Pelodiscus sinensis: one gene and its partners. The protein of the gene in region 1 interacts with the protein of each later gene in a pairwise test. Links are inferred from orthologs where the notes say so. Each region holds a gene or a part of one and is shown in the gene's direction. Other genes may lie near its edges.

Region 1 (6,935 bases):
CAGAGCACAAGCCCATATACAAAGTCTTTGCAATGATAATTAATAGTTTACACTTCCATCACATCTTCCTTCCCAGGAGCTCAAGTATTTTCCACCCACTAATTAAGCCTTACAACACTCCTGCAAGATGCATCTTATTATCCCCATTCTATAGAGGAGGGAACTGAAGCATGGAGACATTCAAGTGGCTTGTCCCAGGTCACCCAACAAGTCAGTGGAAGAGCTGGCAGCAGTACTGCAAACTCTTAACTCCCAGTATTATTGTTCACCCAGTAGTTTTTGCTCCTCTCCTGAGCAGATAATATAACATTCTAATTGTTTCATTTAGCAAGTGCCTGTCACCTGAGAAGCAAAAAGCAAAAAAGGTATCTGTATTTTACAGGTGGGAAAACTGAGGCATATAACCAGTAAGTCACTTGTCTGTGGCTTTGTCAATAGAGCACTGGACTGAAATTTGGGAGAGATGGATTCTCTTCTTGGCACTGCCACTGAATTGCTGGATGACCTTACGCAAGTCATTTCCCCTGTCTATGCTTCAGTTTTTCACATCCTGTGAAATAATGGTAACGATACTGACTTCTTTTGTAAAGAGCTTTAAAATCTACTGATGTGAATTACTAGGAGAGCTAGATATTTTGTCTTAATTATTATTAAAATCACACTGTGAGACAATAGCAGAGCTGGGATGGAAATTCCCAATCTTCTTCCCATTTTGCTGCTTTAATTACTAGACCATGCTACCTCCATAAGTAAGTGCCACATAGGTCTCCTACAAGGGATGTGGTGGGAAGACCTTTCAAGTCATTGAGATGCTTTTAGCTCTTTTACAGTAACTGCCCTTCTCTTTAGGATGAATAGAGGAAGTAAACTTTCACTGTGAATGTTACTGCTGCACTCAGATTATCAGCAGGATAAAACAGTATCACACCTAGCAGCTCTTTGGGCTACACACAGTCTTAAAATAAGTGTCATAACTTCACTGAAGCCACTGGTAGACCTTGCACCGGGGATTAGTGACACCTTGAATACTGCAGTCCTCAGACAAAGGTGGGTAGTTTTGTTCCTGAAGAGGATTAGTTGGAATCAGTCATTCCACGAACCCTGATTTGTGGGCAGTTACCAAAACTTCAGCTCTGTCAAAGAGAGCACATGGAATCAGTTCAGACTACTGTTGTATGGGGCCATAAAACACTGCACTTGCCAGCTCATGGTTAACACCTAGCAGTGCTGTTGACACCTCCCAGAACAAGGAAGGCCTGCTTTGTTTTAGCCTCACCTCCCATTGTGAGTCAGATACCCGCCCATCCTTGAACCTTTTGAGATCAAGTCTGGAGCAGCACCAACGCTGCTCAGCAACACCAGAGAGGCTCCACACCACCCTGTTCCTGCTGAAACTATAGGAGTGCCATACTGAAGGGATTAAAAGGTTTCTTTAAAGAGGCTGCTGTCACAGGGCTCTCAATTTCTGATCTCATGTTATCACTATAAGGAAAAGCAGAACAACACTAATGCACAAGACTTTTAACCCTATGAAGCAGGGTCGCCAGATTTGTCAGGGACTTTAACCCGGACGGCCTCCGTTCGTTGTCTGACCGCAAAGAGACAGGCAACACCAGCAAGATCCAATCACAAGCTCTTTATTGAATAGTGCGCACTACAATAGAGAGCGGCCCGTCTCCCAAGGGAACCAGCCCTGATTTCAGTAACAAGTAAGATTATATAGACAGTTCCGTCGTGTCATAAAACATTTGCCTAAGCATCTTAGCCCCCCCTTAATTAATTTGAAGCTTCTAGTGTTAATGCGTATACTTCATGGCCTTAAGCAATTCATAATGCATCAACAGCTGTCTTATCAGCCTAGAAGGCAAGTACCAAACAACAAGGAGACAGGGAGTTAAAACAAACAGAGGGCAGAGACAGTTGTTAAGATCAGGGTGAGAACAGAAACAGGGAGTTACTTTATCAGTTCTCAAACTAGCTGTTCTCATCACAGGTGCAGCCTTTTACTTACTTTATTTTGCAACTTAAGCAAGTACGTAGGGATTGCCCCTTGCTTGAGCCATAGTTCTAGTTCTGTTCTGTTCAGGAACTACCCAGAAACCTTTGTTAACCTCTTTCCTTGATCTGTCTTAACATAACTGCACTAGGCCCAATTCTCTAGGGCCTAACAGACCCAAGACTGAGAACTGTGAGGGTGCATCTACACTGCAGGGCTTAACTAGAAATAAGCTAAGCAAATTGAGCTATGTAAATTGCATATCTTATTTCAAAATAGCTTTTTTCAAACCAAGGAATGTCTACACAGCACTTATTTTGAAATAGAGCACTCGGCCACCTACTTCCCTTATTCCTCGTACAATGAGGGTTTCAGGAGTCAAAGTAAAAAGTCCTTCCGCTTGACAGTATTTTGACATTATTTCAAAATAACACCCTGCTGTATAGATGTGGACTAAGTTATTTTGGAATAACGCTAGTTATTTCCAAATAGTGTTGCAGTGTAAATGTACCTTGAGAGAGTGTATCTTCAGCTAAGGAGATTTAAAGGCAAAGGTTAGGGTACTTGTAATATTAAGAAAGAGAGTCATAGGAAAGTAATTTTCCCTTAAAGCACTGGCTTCATATAGAATCCAGCAGCCAAGAGGCAGCTTTCAGTGGGCCTGTACTGCTTTTAGAATGGTTGGTGATGCAGGAAAAATAAATGAAATTCCAAATGAGATGGAAGGAGAAAATGAAAGAGTGAGCACTCTGGTTAATGATGCTAGAGCCCTCAAATGCACCTTATTAGAAATAGCAGATGAACCTTGCTCCTTTTAGATACAAATCTACCATGATAAAGGCTGTGATATGAATAGATGGCTAGTTACTACATTACTATCTTGTATATTACTATAAAAACTGACACATCAGCAACATTCAACTGAATAATTTGTAAAGGGGGTAAAGATATAAAAAACATCTCGTTTCATGTAATCTGGCACCTTCCAAAGAGCAGGCCCTGATTCATCTCTTACAATCGTTTCATGTTATTGTAATATCATTCATTTTAGCAGTGTTAATCCTGCTTTGTTTGCACCAATTTAAAGGGCAAGCAGGAACAGGGCTGTTGTCTACTGAACAGTGCTTAGGAAGCAGAGGCAAAAATCCACTCTAGACAGGACTTTAGCAGATTTGCTAGACCAGGCACAGAATTGGTTTATTTCCAACTATTTAGTATGGTATTTCATGTTTGGGGGGAAGGGGATAGGACAAACCAACAAAAAACCTACAACCAAAACCAGCTCCCCAAACAACCTTCCCAATAACATTTACTGGGCCGTCCAAACCCCAAACGCAAACGATTTCCCCAAGCACAGTGAAGTGAGTGGTGTGGTAAAACTTCCCCGGGCAGATTTAGCAGTTTACAGCCTTTGGGTGGAGCAGTCTCTGCTCGATGAAGGGAGGACCCATTCGAACCTCAAGATCCAAACGTGACCTCGTAGCATGTGGAGCGGGGTTGCGCTGGAAAACTTCTCACGTGTCCACGAACTGCACCTCCCCATGGCTTCAAGCACTAGTCCCATGTTGCTGGCTCCCTGATTGGAGGGCGATAGGGGACTGCCGCAGGGCAGCGAGGCGCAGGCTGGCTGGCGCTCCCGGGAGGAAGGAGGGGGCTGCGCCATGGCCAGCAGGGGGCGGGCGGCCCTTGCCTAGGTGCCTGCCCGGTGCGGACAGAGCGCGCCTGGGAGCGGAGGGCGCAGCTGCTCCGCCAGCCGCACCTGGGACAAGAGCGGAGCCGAGCCAGGCTGGACGCGCTGCTCGCTTCTCTTCGCAGCTTGGCGAGCCGGGCCCGCAGGCTCCGGGCTGCCCCGCACCTCCCCATACCTGCGCTGGGAGCGGCGTGCGAGGCGGAGCTGGACCTGCCGCTTCCACCCGCCTCCTCCTCGGATTGATCAATAACTTCGGGTGCGAAGGTCGCGTCCGGCTGCGCTCGGGAGAAGCCCCGGAGCGGAGCTTGCAGGAGGATCCCGGCCCGCCCGGCATCCCGGTGCTGCCCGGCCCGGAGCCATGTCGCCCGGCCCCGTGTGAGCCTGGACTCTAGCAGCCTCGCGGCTGGGCTGGGCGCTTGGGGCGGAACCCTGCCCCCCCGGCTGCGCCGCGCCCCGCGCCCCTCGGGGGTCCCGGCCAGGACATGTCGGTCTCCGAGCTCTACACCAAGGTGAGCGGGGGGCGGGTGGGGAGTCCCGGGCTGAGCCGGGGCCTGTGCCGCGGAGGTTCACACGCCGCTCTGGGAACCACCTGCCGCGCTGGGAGAGGGGGAGGCTCGCTGCTGCCCGCCCGCTTCCCCAGCCCCCCGGAGCAGGGGCTCGGGACCCGCCCGGCTGCGTTCGTTCTCTGCCTGGGCACCCCAGCCGGCCCCTAGGGCGCCCCCCTGCAGCCAGGCCGGGAGCAGCCTGCAGCGGGCGGGCCAGGCTGCGTGTTCACAGGCGAGCGGAACTTCTGGTGCCTGGAGCCCTGCACCTGCCTCTCTCCGCCTTCGCCGTGGGGCCGCTCCCCTTGCACTGCTGCCTGCGGCCCGGCTAGCGGGCTCCCCCGCGCTGCAGTTCCCTCCCTGTGCAGCACCCCGGAGAAACTTCCTGCCCCTCTTATCGCTGTGCTATCCCCTCTCCGCCTGTAATACCCGCAGGGCCAGTGCCTCTCCGATTGCCCTTCATTCTGCAGGGTCACCTCCCAGGGCACTGCCTGGCTACCCTCCCTGCAGTCCCCCCTTCCCTTGGGCCCTCTGAGGGCACGGAGGGGCCGCACGCTGACAGTTTGTGGCTGGTGTTTTTGGAGGGGGAAGCGGCAGCAAGTGGGGCCCGGGGAGTGTTAATCTACAAGCGAGTTACCCCTGCATCGCGCTCTCTTTTCTGTGCAGCGGTGGGTACATGCTTGGTGCTCCAGACGTGGCGGGGAGAGGGTGATCGGGGCAGGAACAGGCTGGGAGGCGGCTGGCTCGGGCAGCTAGGGAGAGGCTGGGCTGAGCACGAGGAGGGGGAAGAGCCCGGAACAGGTGTGCAGAGAAAAGGAAACCTCGAGTTGTTGCTGCAGTGGCCACATGAAGTTAGGGACCGGGGACGCTTCCCAAGCCGTGGCAGCCTGCTGGGGGCACAGCCGTTACTGTTAATAGGCTGGCTAGTGGCTTTGCTGGCTTTACTGGAAAGAGCCGCTGTGTTTTTCTCTGGGCTGGCTCAGTGAAGTAGGCAGGACCATGGTCCTCTCCTCGGGTGGATGAATCATGTAGGAAATGCTGACAGTTCCTGGACGGGCACCAAGGGTGTTCCTGGCCACACAGGTGGGGTGGGTGAGAGTCAGTAGGTCTGTCTGGGAAACCTGTTCCGGACTAATTACAGTTTGCATTGGGGAAAGGACAGTGTCTCACTGAAACAACCACCAGAAAGAGATTTAGGCAGCAGTGTGGTTTCTTTGGGGGGCAGTTCAGCAACTTTTGAAGATCCTCCTATTGTTTTTAACACACACATCTGATACTCTCTTCTGTAGCTCAGATGGGGCAGGGGTGAGAAGATCATCCTTCCTACTTCTGTGTTTATTGCCTTAGGCACACCATAGAGTTATTTAAAAATCAAACTTTTTTTTTTAAGAAGCCTTGTCAGTATACAGTGAACCTAGGTGAGGACAGCTTAATGAAGTTGTCTAGTTTAGATTGAGTTTCTTGCCTTATGTTGCTTGTGCTGCCTGCTGGAGTGAAATTGACTATGAACGTTGCATGCTCTCCATGGAATACTCTCAGAAATAAGATTTCTCCTGAGACCAGGCAGGAGCAAAACACTTTTTAGCTTTGGTGTATGGCAGCATAAGTAGTAACATAAAAACTATGGCTTGTATGCCTAGCAGGTTTCATTAACAACCTCTAGGCAAAACAAAATAAAATGAACTTTTACATTCCAGAAAGGTAAAACTAGGCAAAGCAACATTAAAGTACAATTATTACACTCCAAGCAATGCTGCTGTTTTAACCCCAAGTACAGGATGAGCATTCTCCTGAAAGAAATTTAACATACCTTGTTTTTTATTTTTTAAATGCCAGTTTGGAATGGGCTTGTTCTCTGTGGGTTTCACAGTCAGTCACAATATCGATACATATGTTTCCTAGATAAGTGTCTGAGAGAGCCAACACTGTAAGTAGATGCACCATAGCGTGGGTGGGTATCTTTGCAGACATTGTTGGCTTTTCGGTTTTCCTAATATTTATGTGCTGGATGTGCAGGGAAAGGTGTAAACAGGAGATTATTTGCCCTCAGAGGTGGTGTTTTATGCTCCTTTCTGAACAATTTCCTGTGAAGTTCATCAGCTTCTGTGGGTGTACTACACAGGTTGTACCCACAAAAGCTCATGATACCATCTACATGTTTTGTTAGTCTATAAGGTGCTGCTAGACTATTTGTTGTTTTTCAAGTTTTTCCAGGCTTGACTGTGAGTCAGGAGGAGCAGAACTAGGTAGATGGCTGTTCCCTGCACTGTGCTGTCATTTTTTCAGAAACACACAGGTATTACCCAAGTAAAGTCAGGATGACCCAGTCAGCATGATCTTGTTTGGTTGCTCCAGGAACTTTCCCTGCTTATCCAGAAGGCTAAAGGTTGCTGCCAGCAGGGAGCATTATAGGGACTGAAATATGTTTGGAGTTGAAGAAAAAATTATGGGACCCTAGTCCTCTGTACAGATGGTCCTGACTTCAATGGATATTCAAGATGGGATGGATGGTTGGAAACTTTGTGACTGGGCTTTGATGGAGTTTGTCTTCTATGCACATTTTCTCATGTGGATGATCAACTACCTGATGAAAACAGTTTCACCCTTCTTGAAATTCTCCCCCCCACCCTTTTTTTTAAACAGAAAACAGGTCAGCTGTGGGCAGGGAGGAGGGAAGTGCTTAAGACGCTGTGCCTAGGGGCGAGTA
Region 2 (7,454 bases), on another chromosome or scaffold:
AGACCCCTATTTTGCTATACATTGATGAGGAACGGGAGGTACTTAATGGGACGTCCCTAGGAATCGCCCCTCCTCTGTTTTCCAGTGGGTTCTTTGAATTCTGATTTTTGTCAAGTCCAACTGAAAGGGGAGAGCTCCCTCTGGTGAGGAGAGCGAGGACACTGCATGCAGTGCTACTCAGGAAACGGCAGGTTCTGACATTCCTGTTCTGCAGTGGTTGGGAAATGCCCAGGTCCTGGACCAGCACCAAGTTCCTGGTTGTAGTAACACCTGGTATCTGATGCTGTGTCCTGTTGACAAGTAATGAAAAGTGCCTACATGGCAGCTTCCACCCCCAGGCTGCAGCACAAGAGGGTCCTGGTTATTTGTGCAGCACAAGAGGGTCCTGGGTCCTGGATCCTGGAGCGCAGCTTCCTGGGAGGGCACAAAGCTCCAAGTGTTGCTGGAAATAGCTGCCTTTTTTCTCACCCATCCTGCTTGTGAACAGACTCTTGCTCCCTTGGGATAGGTGCCTGGCCTTGGCTGCAGAGTGGCAGCTATGTCTAAACCCCACACGCATTGTAAAGGGGTAACAGAATCCTGGCTCAGCTTTAGAATGAGCAATAGTGTGTCTCTGAAAACTAGTTCTCCAGGCACCTGCCCAAGTTGGCCTGGAGCCAGCGGCCAGAGACCGATCCAGGGTGACACAGGCTTGGCATGTGCCAGACCACAGCTGGATCAGTGCTGGTGCCACGCTGCAGAGCAGCAATGCTGCTGGGTTGGTAGCCATGCACTCAGTGGACTGGCAGTGGCATGAAATTGATGAGCTCTCTTAACCTGCTATTCAATTGGCAAGATTTGACCTAGCCCCAACAGCCTCTGGCTGGGAAATGGGGTTTGCTTAGTTATATACCACACACTAGCTTCCTGCCAGTACGATGCAAATACCCCATGCAGGCAGTCAGGCGCTTGGACTGACTTTTACAGCCACAATAACCTCTTTGGCAAGAAGCATAGGACCATGCTAGAGCCTAGAGAAATAGTCACAAACAAAACAACACAACTCTTGAGCCAGAGAAATGATGCTGGAGTCTCCACACAGAGGTGAACAGGTTTTGTTCAAGTGTGACACTAAACCCACTAAACTAGTGCAACGTGGTACGTGGATACTCTCATCCTGTTAGCTGTAGCTAAACCAGAACAAGCTAGGGTTAACCCACAGTAACGCTCTGCACCTGCTTCACTAGGCCCCACGACACTCATGCGTCTGTGAAAAAAAGGGGGGGGGCAAACTTTTTTTGCTGGGTGTGGCAAAAAACCTAGAGCCAGCCCTGCCAGGATTCAAGTTCCTGGTAAGGCACTAGAGCTTCCCCATCTCTGCTGCATGCCCTGGGCCTTCCCGCATGATCTTTGCTTACTCTTCAGGATCTGGCCATTCCCACCAAGGCCCATTTCCTGACATGCCCACTGGCCTCTTGCTCTGCAGGCTCAAAGGCCTCTGCCATTCCAATGCAGCCATGCTGTGTGCCCACTGAACTGTTGGTCAAATATCAGGCTGGATGAGAGCGGGCAGGTCAATGAGGCGAGCTGTGTCTCTGAATAATAGCAGGGACAGGCTGCCAGGCACCCCAAAGGACAGGCAGGCAGGCTGGCTCAGTAATATGACCAGTACATTGGGTGACAGTGCCAAGAGGATTGCTGTGATCCAACCCATCACATCAGGCTCCAGCATTATAAACGCATCTGCCATGGCTGTTCCTTTGGAGTAGACAGTCTACATAGTGCGGTGATCTCTTCACACAGCAACATCATCCCAAACATCACTACTGTGAGTGGGCCCTCTTATGCACTGCTGGGGCTGCTGTGTCTAATACAGCATTACTCTAGCAGCTTTGGGCAGTGCCAAATACAAGGTAGAAGAGCGACTCAAGGCAGCTTCATCACTGCCACATTCATGCCAAAGAAGCTTTGGTGGGAATCATAGTGGGCCACAAAATCTCTATGGAATAGGGATGTAAAGTTCAATTAATTGGCTAATCGAATAGTTTAGCCATGGCTCCCTCCACCTTAGTCCCCAGCTGACCCCGGGCTCCATGCAGCGATTCAAAGCAGCAGACCCCGGGCTCCACACAGCACTGCCACTTTGAAACGCTGCATGCAGCCCGGGCCAGCTGGGGACTCCCAGCTGGTCCCAGGCTCCACGCAGCGCTGCCACTTTGAAGCTCCCCTACACTCCTCCCCCTTTGCTGCTTCTTTCTGACAGAGGCAGCAAGGGGGAGGAAGCGACTAGTTGACTAGCATGTTGACTATGTAGAAACCATTTAATATTTAGCTAGAAGCCATTCGGTATAACAAAAGCCATTTCAGTTTCTTGTGTCTGCGCGTATACTAGAGGGAGTGAACAGGCCTTCACCGAGGTGGGGAGAGGCCAGAAAGATGCGCTGTTGGAATGTGTTAATGAACTATTTTGAGCTGAAGCTCGAACTCCCTCTAAACCTGTTTCTTTCTCTGCTGATAATGCTTCTTTGAAGTTCATTTTGATTTCTTGCCCTGACGTCAGACTTGTTTGGTTAAGGGTATAAAATACTAGGATTAATTATATTAGCCAGCCTTACTGGGCCCGGCTCTGCTGGGACCACATTTGGCTCACTTTACTTTTATTGGCCAATAAAACTGTCTGTTTAGCTGCGTAAACTGAGTGAGGCTTTTGCTTCAACAACTAAACATTTTCTTATCGGATAGTCGACTAGTCATTCACATCCCTACTATGGAAGAGTGATCTGGGACTCCCTGAACCATAAGGGAAACCTCTTTTATTTGGCTTAGTCACTGGAGCTGAAAAGGGAGCTCAGAGCCAGTAAGCAAGGAGTCCGATACTGGCCTCATGGATTTATTCATGAGATGAATCAGGAGTCTGGCCTCCATGTCTTTATAGATTCTGGAAGTAAACAATATGCAAACAGCATATCTCCCCAGTAGGCACCTCAGATACCCGAAAGATGGGCTTTTGAGGTGCCCAGTTTGCTGGCATGGCTCCCTCATAGGAGGGACAGAACAGAAATAGTAGGAACCTGAGGAGGCCATTCTGGTACCAGAAGTCTAATTCTGTAAAACTAAGTAGGTGAATAAAAATTGACAAGGAGCAGGTAACTAACCCCTTTAATCATAACTTTACAAAGTTATGGTTTGGAAGAATTCTAGCCTGCTTGCAAGGACAGACAGCAACTGCTTCATCTTAATGTCAAAGCACTGGCACTGGGTGCTCCAGCGCTGGCACACTCACGGAGAAAAAAGTGGGTGTGCAGCCTATCAGCTCCCTTCTCCTGCTAGTGCAGCAGGCCCCATGAGCCAGTACCTTCCCCTCTCTGTTCCCATACCTCCCCCTCACCACAATTAGCTATTTCACAGTGTTCCTGATGCTGAAGGGGAGCAAGAGAAGGAAGAACACAGTATGCTCAGGGGAGCAGGGGTAGGGCAGCTTTTTGGGAAAAGGCTGGGGTTAGGGCCAGCCTGTGGCAGAGCTCCTCCTGGCACTTTGGAAAGTCAGCACTTATGGCCAGAAGGCAGTAAAAGGAAGGCTTCACTTGTTTATGCCCTCAGCACAAGAGCTCAAGGGATATAAGTGTAGGCCCACTACATAGATACTGCTGGCCAAAAGCCTAACCTGCAGCATGAGGCACACGTGCACAACCAGAGTAATCCACATCATCTTTGTCCTTCGGAGGGGGGTGTACTAGGAAGCAGAGGTGCCAACTTCCTGAGTTCTTAGGGGATGCTCAACCCCCCATTCCACCTTTCCTCAAATTGTGCCCCACACTCACTGTGCCCCCTCCTCCCATTGCTGCCTGCACACCTCAACAGCTGATCACATTTAGTATCAGCTGGGAACATCTGGTGCAGCTGTGAGGGGGTTGGGCAGGTAGCCTTGGGCTGGGCCAGGATTGGACAGGTGCCAGGCTCTGGAGACAGCAGGGGGAGCTGGGCAGGTGCCAGGCTCTGGGCGGGGGGCAGGAGCCAGGCTCTGGGTTGGGGGGGAAGCAGGAGCCAGGCTCTGGGCTCGGGGTGGGGGGCAGGAGCCAGGCTCTGGGCCCGGGGTGGGGGGGGCAGGAGCCAGGCTCTGGGCCCGGCGGGGGGGGCAGGAGCCAGGCTCTGGGCCCGGCGGGGGGGAGGGCAGGAGCCAGGCTCTGGGCTCGGGGCAGGAGCCAGGCTCTGGGCCCGGCGGGGGGGAGGGCAGGAGCCAGGCTCTGGGCTCTGGGCAGGAGCCAGGCTCTGGGCCCGGCGGGGGGGACAAGCCCGCGCTCTGCCAGCGACGCGCCCCGGGGCTCCTCCAGGCCTGGCGGGTGGTGGTTGCACCAGGGCCTGCGCGGGGCCTCCCCAGCCTGCTTAGCCAGACTCCGCCCCACTGCCCTGGACCGATTGGATCTGCTGCCCGCTCGTCACCAGATGTAGCCTCTCATTGGGTGGCGTCTGAGGCGGTCGCGCTGTGGCCCACTCCCGGAGGCCGCTGATAGGCGGCCGCGGCAACCCCTCCCCCCGCCCCGCGTCGGTGCCTGGCAGCAGCGGATCGGCCGCGCCGCCATCGCCATGGGCACCCGGGACGACGAGTACGACTATCTCTTCAAAGGTAGCGCGGGCGGGGCCGCGCCCTCCGGTCCCCGCCCCCTCCCGCCGCCTGGAGCCCGCGGGCGCCTCCATGACACCCGCCCGCCCGCGGGGCGCCCAGCGGGGGCTCAGCCCGGGGGCACCGGGCGGCGCGTGCAGTGACCCGGCTCGTGGCTGTCTCCTCGCCCGGCAGCCAGGGCCCCGCCCCGGAGCCCCGCACGCGAGGGGAGGCGGTGGGCGCGTTCCGGGGTGTCGCGCCGGGCAGCGTCCTCCCAGCCGGGTCGTGGGCAGCGGGCGAGCCGCGGCTCCGCACTGGGGACGTGACAGTCACCCGGACCCGGTTACCCTTCGGGCTCTCTCTGTATCGGGGCGGGCAGGAGCTGGTAGTGCAGGAAGCTGGCTTAAAGCCGGCTCCCTCCACCCCCACTGACTCCTGGGGAGTCGGCTGTCGTCCCACAAGGGTTACATGGCTGGTTGGTTACTTAATTGAGTGCATTTTAATATCCCCAGTCCGCCACTGCTTGCCGTGCTAGGACTCAGTATGGAGACACATTCTCAGGGGTAGCCATGTTAGTCTGTATCTGCAAAAAACAACTTGTGGCACATTAGAGACTGACTCTTTATTCTTTTTATGTAGACAAAGCACTTGTTCTTTTTCTTGGTGGTGGCCATGCATATATTGGGCTTGCTAGGGAAATTATGTTTTTCCATTAGCAGCAGTTTGTGTGTCTTTCATAAAAGTGAATATGTGTTTCACTACATAACCCACTTGTTTTAAGAACTGCCAAATAGTTGGAAAATATTTTCCTCCTTCCCCACCACTATTAAAACTTAATTGATTAGCTTCAAAGTATGGTAAGCTGTCAGGTCTGGTTCTAAATCCCTTTTGGAGCTAAACTCTACTATCAGTTTTTCAAATGGCTCAGTATCCTAAGACTTCAAAGCTTGACAACTGCCTAATTCATTTCCCCCCCTCAATAATAATGTAAGTAGATGAAAATATGCACCACTACATGGATCTTGTATCTAAACATCTGAACTTAAATTAGACTTTAAATTTTCAGGAAGGGACAGTGCTTTTGTATGAATTATCTGTTGTCCCATAAGTAAAACACTGTTTTGCTGTTCCCCTTCTAGCTGTAGGATCTTGATTCTGACATGGAAAGAGATAGGGCTGTTGTGTAGACTATGATCTCAAAAGTAATAAGACAGTGGTTAAGCCCAAGTCCAACTCTACCTCTTTGTGGAACTATATATTGAGCAGGTATTGAGGAAATATTTTTTTGCTGGTCTTCTGATCTGCCCTTATTTCTGTGCATTGGTTCTTGAGTTGTCTTTCCCTCTGTTCCAGCAACCATATGGTGGTCTGAACAGGAAGGTCACAACTGCCTTTCAGGAACGACTTTTTAATTTTTCAGTATTTGTAAAGGAGGCCAAACAGTAATTTTGTGTAAAAGAGGCCCTGCATTTGTACCCTAAAAAAGCACGTGGAGATAATTTAGCTCTAATTTTAGTTTTACAGACACGTTTTGCTAAGGAAAGATATGTACAAGTATCCTTCCAACTGTCATTGGAATGGCTTAGTACACCTGATGAGGTTTAAAACTTCAGTTATATTTTAATTGTTAAAAATATTTATTGCTCTGGCATTTCTTTTGTAAAAAGTGGAAGTGCCACATGGAGCCTGGGGCCAGTGAGGAGTCCCTCTACTTCCTCTCCTCTCCCTCCCCCCCCCCCCTGCTCCCGGCAAACCCTGGGCTCCATGGGGTGGTTCTGCTTTGAAGTGCACAAGAGCCCCTGCTGGCACTTCAAAGGCAGAATGCAGTGCAGCTCTTGCTACATTTCAGAGCAGAAGCGCCCTTGTTGACTAGTCAAATAGTTAATGGAAATTCCATCGACTATTTGATTAGCTGATTAATCTAATTTTAATATCCCTAATACTGATGTTAGACTTACTGGTCTGTATTTGCCAGGATCACCTCTAGAGCCCTTTTTAAATACTGACATCACGTTAGCCATTTTCCAATCATTAGATACATTAGGCTGACTTAAAGGGTAGTTTACAAACCACAGTTAATAGTTCTGCAATTTCCCATTTGAGTTTTTTCAGAACTCCTGGGTGAATGCCATCTGGTCCCAGTGACTTGTAACAGTTAAGTTTATCAATTTTTGTTGTTAAAAGATAGGAGCATTTTAAATTGGGCTTTTCTCTTTTCACCACTTAGATGATCACCCTAGTGGCCAAGAGAACAACAGTAATGTTTAATGTGAAATTTCTGCATACACCGACTGTTCAGTATTTGGAAATGGTTGAGAAACTTGAACATAGACTGTTGCTAAAGCCAGTTCACTCTTGTATTGTTCCCCTCCACGATATGGTCAATTCTTGTGTATGTGGGAGTGTCTGTTTAATATTAAAAAATAGATGGGATAAGAGATGGCTGAAGTCTGTCGAGAACAAATTTAGTAGCACCTTAAAGACTAATAAAACATGTAGATGGTATCATGAGCTTTCGTGGGCAAAAAGTGGGTTTTGCCCACGAAAGCTCATGATGCCATCTACATGTTTTGTTAGTCTTTAAGGTGCTACTAGACCAATGGTGCGCAGCCTGTGAGTCGTGACCGCCAAGGAGGTTGCGGATGTCTTCCCCGGGGGAGGTCATGGCACTTAAATCTGGCCAGCTGGGGGCTGGGCCCGTCTGTTGGCAGCCATGTGGTGCTTAGATCCAGCCGGGGGCTGGGTGCGGCCACACAGTGTGGTGCTTATATCCAGTCAGCTGGTGACTGGGCCCAGCAGTTGGCGGTCCCCACGGTGCAGTGCCTAGATCTGGCCGGGGGCTGGGTCCAGCATTTGGCCCCCACGACGCAGATCA
Region 3 (7,104 bases), on another chromosome or scaffold:
ATAAGGAATGCAACTTTCATTTCCTAACCGAAAATGCTCTGCTGCCAGTAACACTGGTGTAAATCTGGAGCGAGTCAATCTGGATTTACACCCCCGTGACTGACTACAGACATGAATTCGGAGTGTCTGTTCTTGGAGATACCAGCAGTGTCCAGGTCTGATTCTGTAAATCCAGCCACCGGTGGTAGGAGGCCCACAAACACCCGATTCTCCCCCTCCTACCACAGTGTAAGTGGAGTTATTTCTGATCTGCACCAACAGCAGGAGAAGCTGTCCTGGTGTTTTTTAAAAGTGAAACTAGCCAGTTCATGTAGTGCTGTGCCCAGGGTTAAGGCTTGGGTCATGCCAAGATCAGCGGGTCGGAGGATGGTACCATGCTCTGCCTGCCCTGGGCTGGCCCAGGGGGTGTGAACTAAAAGCTACCCAACTTTTGTGTTCACATGGTCCTGTCTGACACAGAGCTACATCAATGCAAACTAGGCACCTTTTCATGCTGGCAGAGTCTGCACAGAGTAGCAGCCAATGAGAGCACACACCAGTTCACATGCCCTGAGTCGGGGCTGTGGCACTGTGTAGACAAATCCAAAATAGTTGTATCTCCTCCTCTAATCCACTCATGTTTATACAAATTATGGAAATAGAAGGAAATTTGCTAACTCAGAGCTAAGGGGGACGCAGCGTAGCCTAGTGCTTTGGACAGGGAGTCAGGAGACCTGTATTCTAGTCCTGCTTCTGGACTGTTGGGTGACCTCGGGCAAGTCACTTGCTTGCTCTGTGCCTCAGCTTCCCTGCCTGTAAAATGGGAGTAATGATACTGCTCTCCTTTGGGAGTGGCAGAAGAAAACTATGAGCTATAATGAGGGAGGCCCATGGGAGCTTGGCCAGTAACAGCAGTGGCACCCATAAGCGCAGGAAGTATGGGTGTATGGGGTGCTGCACTACCCTCAGTTTTTGCACCCTGTGTCTTGGCTGCTCTGTTGCAGGTTCCAGAGTCCTGACTGCCCACCCTGCATGCTGGGCTCCCAGACACTGACCCCACTGCCAGCTGGCCCCATGCCCAGGAACTCCATTGTCCACCCTGGGTCTTACTCAGCTGCTAGCCTCAGGGGCTTTGCTGCCAGCCCCAGCTCTAAGGAGTGGTTTGGGGCGCAGCCACAGCTGGGGCGGGGTGCAGCTCACATCAAGAATTGTTCTAGCACCACTGGTAGGGCCAGGATTTCACTTGCTTCCCGAGCCATGTAAAAAGGGCTTCCTGAGCCATGTAAAAAGAGTACAATGGGGAATTAGCCTCCTGGACTTCGCATACCCCCCCACCCCGCATTAGCATGAAATAGTTCACGAGCGCACAGCGTCGGTGCTGGGTAGCGCTAAGCCCTTAATGGCTCTGATTTCTCCTCCTGTGACTTGGCCTCTCCCACCCCCTGCTGAGTTTTCACCTGCCTACGTAGGCGGTGGCATTAGCTCACACAGCTCCCTGCCCAGCCGGAAAGAGGTGCGGTCCCAGGCATAGACGAAAGCCCTGTTGGCTCAGTCGCGCTGCCTCCCGTACCTAAGATCCGTCCAAGGGCTGATCATTCTCCTGCAGTGGCAGCTCTGGGGATCCAGCGGCGGGATCGTAGCGGCTCATGGGTGGCAGGTGTAAGAGGCAAGGGAAGGCAATACCTTCCCAAGCTACCTGGCTGGTCCCACCCACACTCTGCCCCCAAACCCCCTCCCACTCAGTGTGGCTCCCTCCAGTCTCCTGGGGTGCCTGGGCTTCAGCATCACCCGGGCTCCAAGGCCAGAGGAGCCGCTCGCTGCCTGCCCTCTGGGTTTGGAGGGGGGGGCCACCGACCCTCCCTGTGCTCTAGGGAAAGCTAGGGTGGGGGTGGCCTGCCCCTACAGTGTGGGGTCTTGGGTTCCATGGGGGCCTTGGGCAGCAGGGGCGGGGCCTCAGGCAGCAGGGGTGGAGCTAGGGACTTGCCTCATGCAGCCCTGGGTTCGCTCACTGCCCTGTAGTGGCTGTAAGCCGGGGGTGGGGAACCTTTTTTGGGTCGGGGGCCACAGACCCACAGAAAAATCAGTCGGGGGCCGCCCCCAAGTGAGAACGAAAAAAACAAAACAAACAAACAAAAACCCAACAAACCCCCCAACTGAGCCATTCCCCTCACACCAGAGTCTAGGCAGGCCCAGGCTAGTCGATTTTGTGTGCTCCAGCCCCTTGCAGGAACAATGTCGATTCCCTAATGCTAGGAGGGCCCTGACGCCGTCGGTTCTCCACCCCTGCTCTAAGGCTAGGCAATGAGAACCCCATTTGCGGAATGAAATATTGGGGGCCTTCCCCCCACCAGCCTGAGCCACTTTAAAACCTTTTCCCTCAGCTCCTCTTTAGAGGCCTTTCCAGTGTCTCTTCTACCAGTCCCCAGAGCAGATGCTGATGCAGTGACAGGACCTGCTTGTGAGAGGAGGGCCTGGCTCAGGGGTTGCCCACCGGGCTGGAGTCAGGAGAGCTGGGTTTTGAACCATGGAAATCAAACCCCTCCCCAGCCTTTGGGCCGCTGTTTGCATTGGTAAGCTGTCTCTTCAGGTAGGGTCTGTCTCTCACTGGGTCTATGTACAGCACGGAGTCCAGAGGTCACCTCCATGGACCGCTGAGGTGCGCGAGTCATTCGCACACGGATGACTGAGAATGCCTCTCTCATGCTCCGTGGGTTCACCTTAGTCACAGCAGGCACACGGTCTGCAGGGGCAGAGCAAGGGGCAATTGGGGCCCAAGTACATTGTATTCCCTGGGGCTCCCCCCATGTCACCAGGGCCATCCCTAGGGGGGTGCAGGGCCTGGATGACCCTCAGTGCTCCAAGCCCTGGGATCCCCCTTCCCCACCTCAGGCCCCACCCTTGTTCCCCTCCCCTTCCCCAAGCCCCATTGCTGCTGTGCTCCTGCCCACCACCATCACCTCCCCCAAACAACGTCCTGGATTAGAGCCCCCCCCCCATATTCACCAGGAGCCGGAGCAGCCACCCTGGTTCATCCTACCACAGATGGGATGGCTCTGCCTGTCACTTTCTTTACACAGATATTTTGGGGCTCCTCGAACTTGGAGCCCTGGTACAACTGGACCCTCCTCTGCATCCCCTCTTGTCAACCCCAGCCAGACTCCTGTTAGTTCATCCCTTCCCCTCTCAAATAGTCAGTCCCCTTGGCACTCTGCTCCTCCAAGGAGTCCTTCAGGAAATAAACGGTGTCAGCCCCAGGCCAGAGTGTGTGTTACAGGCCTCTCTCTTGGTCCCAGCCACAGAAGTCAGGCTGCAGGGCTGAGCTGAAGCGATAAGGGGGCTCAGACTTTTCACGCTGCAGATCCCTGATTCACTCCCTGGTGTGTCACCAGACAGGCATGGACTGTTTCCAGGGGAGCCCGCTGTAGGCATAGACACACCTGAGGCAAAGCGTGTTTTTTGAGGCACTTGACCCAGATCCGCAGAGTTGGTTCCGCAGGCAAATTGCTCCTCTCTCCATCCTCAGCTCTTTCTCCTTGTCCCCTCTGCCTCCCACACCCTGCTGTCTGGCTTCCTGCTGGCCCTCCCTCCTCCAGAGACTTGCCAGCCCTTCAGAATTCCTCTGGCATCCCCAGGAATGAAAGATTCATCTTTCCTATGAGTTCATATCCTGTGATGAAACCCCCCACTCAAACTGGTCCTTCTACACCAGGGGTGGGGAACCTCAGGCCTGGGGGCCGGATGTGGCCCCCGGCTTGCCTGGATCCAGCCTTCCGAGGTTCACCTCACTGGGCACACATAATGTACTAGGCTGGACCCCTTAGGCTCTGGTTCACAAGGGGAATGTGGAGAGTGTCTTTCTCTTCAGCTGGGAGCCACGTCACTAAGGAGTTTTGTTTGCTTGTTTGTTTCTTCTCACTTTATATGCAGCCCCCGTCCGTTTTTCCTGTGGGTCAGTGGCCCCCGACCCAAAAAGGTTCCCCACTCCTGCTCTACACCTAGGGTGAAGTTAAGCCGAGGCCAGTACGGGTGAGCCCAGCAACCATGTGACGCTGGTGGGGGTGGTTTGCACTACCTGACAAACCTGTACAGCGACACCCGGGTCACACCTCACTGAGTCAGCCAGCCCTGCAGAGCTGCACCTTCAACCCGCCTAGAAAGGATCTATTCCCCGCCCAGTCCCTCTGACAACAGGACACAGAAGCTGGGTTTTTGGGAGCTGGTGCAGTAAAGGGAACTTGGCTCTGTGGGTCTCCTCCCCTCTGGCAACTCTCCTCCCAATCGCTTTCAGCTTCGCTGGCTTAGGAGGAAATTTTGTCCTCTCTCTTCCTGGTTTATCAGAGCCTGGCAAAAAAGAAAACTCCCCCACACCCTGGCTGGTAAGGAAGCAAGCAAAGATTGAGAGGAGGATCCCAGGCCGGAGGGGGGCCAGGTGTGGCTGGGAAAGATGGGGACAGCTGAGGAGAATTATAACTTTGTCTTTAAGGGTAAGTTTTGCCGGCACCCTCATTCGGTGACTAGGTTTCAATGTGCTAGTTCTGCCTTTTGGAAGGGTGGAACTGGGGGCATGGGGAGAGGTGGGCAAAGGATGGATGGATGGATGTGGGGAGACCAGCTGCAGCAGTGATGGGCTGAGACAGTGGCTGTTCACCTTTCTGGACAACTGTATCCCTTTCAGGAGTCCGATTTGAATTGCAAGCCCCACGTTTCCCCTCACTTAAAAATGACTTGCTTACAAAACCAGACGTCGAAACACAAAAATCTCGCCGTGCACGGCTACTCCAAAATCTGCTGACTTTCCCATTTTTACCACCGAAGTATAAAATAAATCCACCGGGGTATGAATATCGTATTTACATTTCAGTGTGGCGCACGGTACAAACAAGTCACTGTCTGTATGAAATGTTAGTGTGTATGGACTTTGCTAGTGATTTTTATGTAGCCTGTTGTAAAACGGAGCAAATATCTCGATGAACTGATGTACCCTCTGAAAGACCCACAGGTGTACACATGTTTTCCCCCCACCCCTGGCTGAGAACCACTGGGCTAGGGCATGTACCACAAGAGGTGGAGGGGAAGCAGCCATCCAGAACAGAAACTGGGGGAAAGGGTCTTTCTCCTGTGGTTATGAGGAGTCCTTCGAGGTGGCTCTTTGACCTCGGTCCATCCCTGTGGCCAAATCCCACTTCACCAGGGCATAAGCCCTAAAGAAGTCAGTGGAGCTACACCAGGAATTTGGCTCAGATGAGCCCCTCAGCTATACCCTCCTCTCCCAAATTGTCCAAGATTGTGACCCACTGAGTATCCCATCAGTAAATCAACAGCCCAGCTCGGTGCCTGGACTGACGGGTGCGTTGTGGGATGCAGTCAGGGGGTCTGACACCTCCCTCTTGAGCAGCAGTTCCCAAACTTTTCAGCATCACACCCACTTTTTGATTTTTCAAAAACCCTCACATTCCCTTCCCCCAAAATAGCAAAATTTGTTGAGGAAAAAAAAAAAAGGAACTGACTGGGGCAGCAAAACTTGATGGGGGAGGGGGGGGTTGGGTCGCCTCGTGCTCCTCCCCCCCCCCCGGGAATTTCTTCACACACCCCAGTTTGGGAAGCCATGCTCTTGAGTATTAGGTACTCGTCGCTGCTGGCCTAGCTGGACAATCAGAAGTAGCCAGTGTTACAGTGTCACTGCTGCGGGGGGTTGGTGGAATGGTGCTAAGCTCAGTGTGGAGGTTTGGGGCTTCTGTCAATCCAGATCCCCAGGCATTTGAATCCCGATGGATGTCTGGACTGTCCCACCTTGGGAGCTGGTTCTCCATCACCCCACACTGTGAGTGCGCATTTACATCTATGCAAAGTGCTACCGGATCAGAAGGGGTGCAAAGACCAGCACGAAGTGGAGAGCAGCCTTAAAGGGTGGAAATAGCCATGTAAGGATCCTGCTTGCACAAGGGGCTGTCCCAACTGGTTTGGAGCTGAGGAAAGGGCCATAAACATAGAGGGAGGATTGGGGTGTGGCCGGAATGCAACAAGTACTGTGGCTAATCTGAAACAAAATACAGGACTATGTAGCACTTTAAAGACTAACAAGATGGTTTATTAGGTGATGAGCTTTCATGGGCCAGACCCACTTCTAATCTGTGATAGAAATGTAGCCGTGTTAGTCTGGTGTAGCTGAAACAAAATACAGGACTATGTAGCACTTTAAAGACTAACAAGATGGTTTATTAGGTGATGAGCTTTCATGGGCCAGACCCACTTCCTCAGATCAAATAATGGAAGAAAATAGTCACAACCATATATACCAAAGGATACAATTAAAATAATCTGTGTTTCTCAGGCCCCATAAGGAGCAGAGACTGTTTCTTGCTCTGGGTTGTCATGGCCCCCTGTCATGCTGGGGCCTCAGTCTTGGTATGAGCCTCCAAGTACTACTGTAATGTAAAAAGTATTAATGCCAACATGGCGTAATGCCTGCTGACAGGATCAGGCCCTAACTGGATTGCATCCCTTTAGAGCGCAGTTTCTTCTAACCTGAGTCAAACTGCTTTCAGTAACTGGAATTGCAACAAAAGCCAGATTTAAAAAACAAAACAAAAAAACCCACCAAATTTATTTTCTCGAACAAGGAAAATGTTTTGGTTTTTCTGGAAAAAAACATTTAAACCAAAATTTTTATTTGCAGGGGAAAATGTTTATTACTTTCTAGCCAGGTCTGTATGCCCTTATTTCACTGGGAGAAGGACAGTGGCTCTGGCAACTAGGCCCCAAACTTTTACTAAAATGATTAGGGGTTTGGAACGGGTCCCATATGAGGAGAGGTTAAAGCGAATGGGACTTTTCAGTTTAGAAAAAAGGAGACTGAGGGGGGATATGATAGAGGTATATAAAATCATGAGTGGTGTGGAGAGGGCCGATAAAGAAAAGTTATAAATAGAAGAACTAGAGGACACCAAATGACATTAATGGGGAGCAGGTTTAAAACTAATAAAAGAAAGTTCTTCTTCACACAGCGTGTAGTCAACCTGTGGAACTCCTTGCCAGAGGAGGCTGTGAAGGCTAGGACTATAATAGAGTTTAAAGAGAAGCTAGATGATTTCATGGAGGTTAGGTCCATAAAAGGCTATTAGCCAG
Region 4 (7,623 bases), on another chromosome or scaffold:
AAGTGGGCTGTGCCCACAAAAGCTCATGAGACCATCTACATTTTTTGTTAGTTTCTAAGACTGTTTCTCTCAAACTGTGGGTCCCGACCCCCTGGAGGGTCGTGAGCAACTTGGACGGGAGTCGCGGTATCACAAAGTTTGAGAACCCCTGCTCTAATGTGCTGCAAGACTATTCTTTTTTTTTTTTTTTTTTTTTAGAGAGTGAGGGATGTTTCAAAGTTGGACTGGCATTCAAGGTATATAAAGGACAGGGGGCAAAGAAAGAAAATATGGTATCCGTATGCACTTCTCAACTAAGCAATGCCCATCCCAACTTATTCTTTAATGTACTCTTCTTCCCAGAGTAAAAATGGGGATGTACCATGTACCGTCAAGGTAGGAGGTGAGTATTTACCATCTGTGTCCCTTTTGCTATATTTTTCAAATCTCAGCTTCTTGCATTTTCCATTCTGTATCTACACACCCAACTCTTCCTTATTTAAACCCTCTCTTGCCTGAATTATTTTATTATTTATTACTAAACATAGAGGCTGTGTCTAGACTGGCCAGTTTTTCTGGAAAATCAGCTGCTTTTCCAGAAAAACTTGCCAGCTGTCTACACTGGCCACTTGAATTTCCGCAAAAGCACTGACTTCCTACTGTAAGAAATCAGTGCTTTTGGCGGAAATACCATGCTGCTCCCGTTCGGGCAAAAGTCCCTTTTGCGCAAAACTTTTGCGCAAAATGGCCAGTGTAGACAGCTGAGATTTTTTTTGCGCAAAAAAAGCCCCGATCGCGAAAATGGCGATCGGGGCTTTTTTGCGGAAAAGAGCATCTAGATTGGCCACGGACGCTTTTCCGCAAAAAGTGCTTTTGCAGAAAAGTGTCCGTGCCAATCTAGATGTGCTTTTCCGAAAATGCTTTTAACGGAAAACTTTTCTGTTAAAAGCATTTCTGGAAAATCATGCCAGTCTAGCCATATATTATAGTAGTGCATGTAGGCCCCAATATATATTAGGGGCCATTGTGCTAACCTCTGCACAAACAAATAATGTAAGGTCCTGAGAGTGGTGACCTTATTATCTTATTAATTGCACTTCTTTTGTCTCTGTGCTCTGTCATATTTTTCTTCACCTTTGTCTTCTTTTTCCTTTTCTCTGCTCATTTTTCTTTTCCTCCACACCTTTAAATCTATTCCCCCTCTTATTTCCTCCATATTTCCCCCTTATTCTTACTCATGTATTGACAGTTAAGTTTTATATTGATCCTCCTCCTTCTCCTGAAACAGTCAAACTGACTTCATTTTTGTACCCTTCCACCTTTGTCTCGACAAGCTACCATAAGGTAAGTGAAGAGAAACTGGCTAGGTTAGCACCTGTCTCAATACGGTGGCAATGTACTAAGCTCTTTATAAAGCTAGCGACACTCAGAATAGGTTGAGTGAATGACTCTATGTTGATCTGAATCTCTGATTGCACCTGCCCTAGAGAAGTTTGTACCCATTTTTCAGCAACAGTTTAGATGCACTATTAGACATGATGTAAGCTTTAGTGTGTACAGTGCTGAGGAGTTTTTACTCAACATTATAAAAGCCTGCTTATGTGAAAGGTTATAGTCAGATTTTCATGATGTGATGGTAAAAATGCCTGAGTCCATTTACACTAGCATTGTATCTGTTGATTGCAGTACTTCAGATGTACTTGTGCTGGAAAAGACTATAGACAATTCTTGTTGTTGTTGCATAAACAAGATCTTTGTGGGAGGACTACCTCAAACTCTCTGATGGGAAAGATAGATGACTTCACTATTTCTGAAAGGGTAAAGGATAATGTGGTAATAGGTGAAAGTCCTAGTGATGTGTGTGGTCAGAAAAATATAATTTCTCTGCAGGTTTATGATTAATATAGTAGTGGCATAAGTGTTCTATCTAGCCATCTAAAATGGTACAACTCCAAAGGTCTCAAAGCCCTTTCTAAATGTGAAAACAACAAGGAGTCCTGTGGCACCTCAAAGACTAACGTTAATTTGGGCATAAGCTTTCATGGATAAAACCCCCTTCATCAGATGCATTCTGAATGTGAGTTAACTTACATTTTAGAGACACTGAGTGCATAAGAACATAAGAACGGCCGTACTGGGTCAGACCAAAGGTCCATCTAGCCCAGTATCCTGTCTACCGACAGTGGCCAGCACCAGGTGCCCCAGAGAGGGTGGACCGAAGACAATGATCAAGCGATTTGTCTCCTGCCATCTCTCTCCAGCCTCTGACAAACAGAGGCCAAGGACATCATTTTATCCCCTGGCTAATAGCCTTTTATGGACCTAACCTCCATGAAATTATCTAGCTTCTCTTTAAACTCTATTATAGTCCTAGCCTTCACAGCCTCCTCTGGCAAGGAGTTCCACAGGTTGACTACACGCTGTGTGAAGAAGAACTTTCTTTTATTCGTTTTAAACCTGCTACCCATTAATTTCATTTGGTGTCCTCTAGTTCTTCTATTTAGGGAACTAATAAATAACTTTTCTTTATCGGCCCTCTCCACACCACTCATGATTTTATAGACCTCTATCATATACCCCCTCAGTCTCCTCTTTTTTAAACTGAAAAGTCCCAGTCGCTTTAACCTCCCCTTCATGTTCCCTTGATTCATAAAGCATAGCAATATACAGTTAAACTCCATTGGTCCGGCATCTGACGGTCCGGCACTCCTGATGGTCCAGCACCATCAGGAACCCGGAAGTGCTCCGCAGCCGGACCATTGGAGCTGCTCTGCCCCCAGCTTCCCCTATTCAGCCGCTGCTAAAACTGACCAGTGGCTAAATCGGGGAAGCCGGAGGTAGAGCAGCTGGGGCGCTGCCCCTGGGGGCTGCGTGACCAACCCGGCAGCACCCCAAGCGTCCTGATTCAGCCGCTGCTGAAATTGACCAGAGGCTGATTCCAGGAAGCCCGAGGCAGAGCTGCTCTGCCTCAGGCTTTCTGGAGTCAGCTCTTGGTCAATTTCAGCAGCGGCTGACTTGGGGACGCCTGGGGCAGAGCAGCTGGGGTGCTGCTGGGTTGGTCCCGCACCGCCGCTCCTCGGTGCTGAAATTGACCACTGCTGAAATTGACCAGCGGCTGACTCACTCAGTATCAGCAACGTCTGACTTGGGGACGCCTGAGGCAGAGCAGCTGGGGTGCTGCCGGGTTGATCCAGTAGCGCTGAGGAGCGGCGGTGCGGGACCAACCCAGCAGCACCCCAGCTGCTCTGCCCCAGGCGTCCCCAAGTCAGCCGCTGCTGAAATTGACCAAGAGCTGACTCCATTTTAGCCATCGGGCTTTCTTGCGCAAGAAATTCATGTTGCCTGTCTACACTAGCCTCTTGCGCAAGAACAGTTGCACAAGAGGGCTTATTCCTGAGTGGGAGCATCATAGTTTTTGCGCAAGAAGCACTGATTTCACACATTAGAACATCAGTGTTCTTGCGCAAGAACTCCCCGCCAATGTAGACAGGCAGTATGTTTTTGCGCAAAAGCAGCCACTTTGGCGCAAGACTGCGCCAATGTAGAAACAGTCTGAGACTCTGCAGTTCTAAAAAATTAGGTCACTTATTTACACTTTATTTAGGTGCCTAACTTTTAGGACACACATTTGATCATTTTGACATCTGATTTGATTTGTCCAGAATAGTGAATTCCCTGACTGGCGCATGAACCACTACTCTTTTTTGCAGTGGTTTTTTTTTTTTTTTTTTTTTTTTTTTTTTTTGCAGGGGGTAGAGGGAGGCAGGGACACTTCATCCCTTGGAAATTGATTTTGTCAAGAAGTGGGTCTTGTTTGATACAGCCATATATGAACCTCCCGTGTCTAGAAGTACAAGAATTGATGTCCTGCTTTAAAAAAAAATGCTTTTTGGTAAATGTTTAGAATTTTATGATGAAATTGATGTGCCGTCGAGGGAATCATTTCTTACCAACGTAAGTATTGTATGTGACACCTACTACTTTTCAGTTACAAAATCCCCTGGGGCTTGGGTAGCCCAGGGAGATCCAGATCCTCCAAAGTACTTAAGCCCCTCATTCCCCCTGCTTTGGAGGGGAGCTGAGGCCAGACATACCTGTGACAACTGGAGCCAGTCTGACGCTAGCGTCCTACCCTGTGGCAGGCCCTGCCCAGGCCCAGGGGCAGGGGGCTGCTGCCCAGCGCTGGCGTGCAGCGGTTCAGCCCTCAGGGCCGGGCTGGTTCAGTGGCACAGGACCCGGCTCCCCCAACGGCTCCTGCGGCGCAGCCCCCACACTGCCTAGCGCGATGTCTTCGGACCGTTCGAAACTGGGTCCCCCCGCCCCGCCCCGCCCCTTCTGCCAGGCCCGCCCCGCTTCTCACTGTTCCCAGGCTGGGAGCGCTGAGGACGGGCCTTTTTCGAGGGGGCGCGCGGCTGGGAACCGGGAAGCCTGGTGCCCTCCCACCCCCAGCGCTGGGAGTTCGGTGCCTGACAGGCTGGGGCGGAGCGCGCACGCGCAGTCCCGCGCGCTGACCGCTCCGGGCAGCAGCCCTCGCTGCTCACAGCAGCTTCCCAGCGTCTCTGGGGTGGGGGGGGGGATGCCGGACGCACTACGCATGCGCCTCACTTGCAAAGCCCCTGGCGGAGTCGTGGAACGCGCGGCTCCTGCGACCCTGACTCTGGTTTCTCCCTGCCCATCCGGTTCCGGGTCAGCGCGGGGGCGGGGGTGGGAGGAGGGGGTGTCTGTCAGTTTCCTGAAGGGACCTAGTCCCGGTAGGTATGTCCCGCTGCCGGGGGGAGCTGGGGGGGCGGGGTCGGTAGTCGCTGGCTCTGTGGAGGGGGGGTGCCCCCTTGAGGGGCGTCACGGAGTCGGGGGCGCTTGGGAACCGTTGGGCGGCGGCGTTTCTTGTTCACCCCCCTCCCCGAGCTGGGCCGGGCCGTGTGTGGCGCCCGGTGTCGAACCGGCCGCTCGGTAGCCGGGGCCGGGCGGCTTTGGGCAACGTCCGCAGTGCTTTGAGCGCGCTCTGGCCGCGGTGCGTTCGGCGCTTTCTGTGGGGCGCTGTCTCGGGAAGCCAGGGCTTGGCAGGGGAAGCGGCCTTCACAGGCTCAACGCGAAACCGCCGTCTGAAGCGGCGCTATCCAACGTAAACGGGCAAGCAACGATGGGACCGCTACTGGGAGACCAGTACTTAGGTGTCGTAGCTGAGCTTTGCTCGGCAGAGTCAGGAGTCCTGCTCAGTCCCGCTCTCCTTAGCATGTGTGGCTGAAACAGGCAGGAATCGCACTCTGAAATGGCGTGGGGTGTGTTCTTTCGTACTGTCAACATCCCCTGGTCTTCCTGCTTAACGCCCTTCAGCTTTTATGACCGTAGCACCCTATCATGTGAGCAGATAAATTCCCTATTCCCAGAATGCAGATGTTGAAAGAAGAGAACAGCTTCTTGTGGTTATCCTGCAGAAGAGACCAAACTTGTTAAATGGTCATCCTCTTTTGTGGAGACTGACCAAAAAAAATTTTTTTGGTGTTGATTTCTAGTTTAAAATAAGAGAGAGATAGATAGATACAGGCAGTCCCCGGGTTACGTACAAGATAGGGACTGTAGGTTTGTTCTTAAGTTGAATTTGTATGTAAGTCGGAACTGGTACATATTGTAGGGGAAACTCTAGCCAAACATTTCTCCAGAGCTCAGTTTTATTCTCCCACACCTCACTTCCCTCAGTCCTTTATTCTCAAGCTGAGTTGTCTGCTGAGAAAAGCCGCTCCGCGTCTCCCTGGTCTGCTGGGGTGGGGGGCTAGCTTCATGTCTCCCTGGTCTGCTGGGGGGAAGCAGCTAGTGCGGGGTTGCCTCACCCCATTTGTAAGTAGGGATCCGATGTAAGTCGGATCCATGTAACCCGTGGACTGCCTGTAAGCTGCTGCAATTTTTATAGTAACTCAGATTGTAAATAGGTGGACATACCACATTAAAATACAGGAAATAAAGAACTGTTTTCAATCTAGTTGTCACCTTGAATACCAAATTCGCTGAAGTTTTCTCAAACTTCAATCAAATACTTACATTCCTGCTCTCTATGTAGTTCAATAGAAGTTGTTTAAAACTTGAAAGTTATGAACTCTAATATAGTTTCCCAATTTTTTTAGACTCTTCTGTTGGACCATCTTTTCATTCATGATTTAACGGCTTACCCCTTGCCATTGGAGATCAGATAACTGTAAAGCAGCCAGAACAATTACAGGCAGTCCCCGGGTTACACGGATCCGACTTGCATCGGATCCCTACTTACAAACGGGGTGAGGCAACCCCGCACTAGCTGCTTCCCCCCAGCAGACCAGGGAGACGTGAAGCTAGTGCCCCTCCTCCCCCAGAACACCAGGGAGATGCGGAGCGGCTTTTCTCAGCAGACACCTCAGCTTTAGAATAAAGGACTGAGGGAAGTGAGGTGTGGGAGAATAAAACTGAGCTCTGGAGAAATGTTTGGCTAGAGTTTCCCCTACAATATGTACCAGTTCCGACTTACATACAAATTCAACTTAAGAACAAACCTACAGTCCCTATCTTGTACGTAACCCGGGGACTGCCTGTAAATACATGAAAAAAAATGTGAGGAAAAGAATTTAGTGTTAACTTCTAATAAATTTAATAGTTGGAAACAAGAAGGTACGAGCACCATATTATTTATTAAGTCTTGGAAGATCATATTTGGGAACTTCTAATTGAACTCAAAATCTTCCTTTAAGTGATCATTGTTTGTATTTAGTCAAGCTATGCTATAGATGTTTGACAACTGAAACAGTAACTTAATATGTTTTTCAGTTATGCACAAGTTTCTTCAGTGGAAACTGCCAGGTAAGTCATTTACAACTCTCTTCTATGTTTTCCAAGTAAAAGTTCTTTACATTAATGATTTGATGAACACTAATGATTGTTACGTTGATTTACAGTGATTATTGCTAATCTTCTAACAACATTTTAGCATGAAAGTCATTAAAGAAATCCATCGCTTCCACTATATCCGTGTTTAATCTGGTTGCCAAATCTATTAATTGCACAACTGTTCCTGTTAGCTACTTTAAATAACTGGTTTATTAAGCAATAAGACATGCTAAACTGTGTGTTTTAAAATGTTTAACACCTTGGGCTATATTATGAGGTACAAAGCCAAAATTACTTTAACAAACCTAAAGCAATAACTGCTGTACAGTGCATTACATAGAGTTCAGTATTACATTGAATTCCATTTCATAATAATATTTTTCCTCCCCAGTAAAAGCTATTTTTAGAGCTGCAAGATGCTTCTCACGAAGCAAGTATTTTTATAACTTCATTACAATGCATTCTTATAACTTTTTGAGATGTGGGAATGACTTGCAACTTTGCAGGTAGCTAGTACTTGATGAAGATGAGTAGTTATTTCAATTTTTGAACCTCATGATACAAATTTAGAAACAAAAGAGTTTTGCTCAGGTACAGTAAAACGTGACAGTGCTTTTAATCTGGGTAAGTTTCTAACCATTTGGTTGAATTAGGAAATATGCCATTTTTAGATTTCATATATTAACTGTGACTAGAAAGCAAAATTGTCATCATTATGAAATTTTTCTATTTTTTAAATGACAATTTCAATTGAAATGTCATGCTTAGCTGGTAAGATAACTACACTCTTAT

The links.
Region 2: the proteins of MYO5B (region 1) and RAB11B interact in binary tests that used the Homo sapiens proteins (3 or more experiments, as listed by UniProt). The link is inferred for Pelodiscus sinensis from reciprocal best matches to the Homo sapiens genes MYO5B and RAB11B.
Region 3: the proteins of MYO5B (region 1) and RAB25 interact in binary tests that used the Homo sapiens proteins (3 or more experiments, as listed by UniProt). The link is inferred for Pelodiscus sinensis from reciprocal best matches to the Homo sapiens genes MYO5B and RAB25.
Region 4: the proteins of MYO5B (region 1) and BNIP2 interact in binary tests that used the Homo sapiens proteins (3 or more experiments, as listed by UniProt). The two-hybrid records come from large-scale screens. The link is inferred for Pelodiscus sinensis from reciprocal best matches to the Homo sapiens genes MYO5B and BNIP2.

What each region holds. Positions count from the first base shown.
Region 1 is NC_134716.1:115,239,236-115,246,170, forward strand, and holds the start of MYO5B (unconventional myosin-Vb), read left to right. Parts: upstream 1-3,934; 5' UTR 3,935-4,168; coding exon 4,169-4,195; intron 4,196-6,935. UniProt on the Homo sapiens protein: May be involved in vesicular trafficking via its association with the CART complex. The CART complex is necessary for efficient transferrin receptor recycling but not for EGFR degradation.
Region 2 is NC_134729.1:25,309,733-25,317,186, forward strand, and holds the start of RAB11B (ras-related protein Rab-11B), read left to right. Parts: upstream 1-4,445; 5' UTR 4,446-4,563; coding exon 4,564-4,603; intron 4,604-7,454. UniProt on the Homo sapiens protein: The small GTPases Rab are key regulators of intracellular membrane trafficking, from the formation of transport vesicles to their fusion with membranes.
Region 3 is NC_134734.1:16,799,060-16,806,163, reverse strand, and holds the start of RAB25 (ras-related protein Rab-25), read left to right. Parts: upstream 1-4,102; 5' UTR 4,103-4,423; coding exon 4,424-4,463; intron 4,464-7,104. UniProt on the Homo sapiens protein: The small GTPases Rab are key regulators of intracellular membrane trafficking, from the formation of transport vesicles to their fusion with membranes.
Region 4 is NC_134724.1:43,189,149-43,196,771, forward strand, and holds the start of BNIP2 (BCL2/adenovirus E1B 19 kDa protein-interacting protein 2), read left to right. Parts: upstream 1-4,613; 5' UTR 4,614-4,730; exon of another isoform or gene 4,731-4,734; intron 4,735-4,836; exon of another isoform or gene 4,837-4,990; intron 4,991-6,771; exon of another isoform or gene 6,772-6,804; intron 6,805-7,623.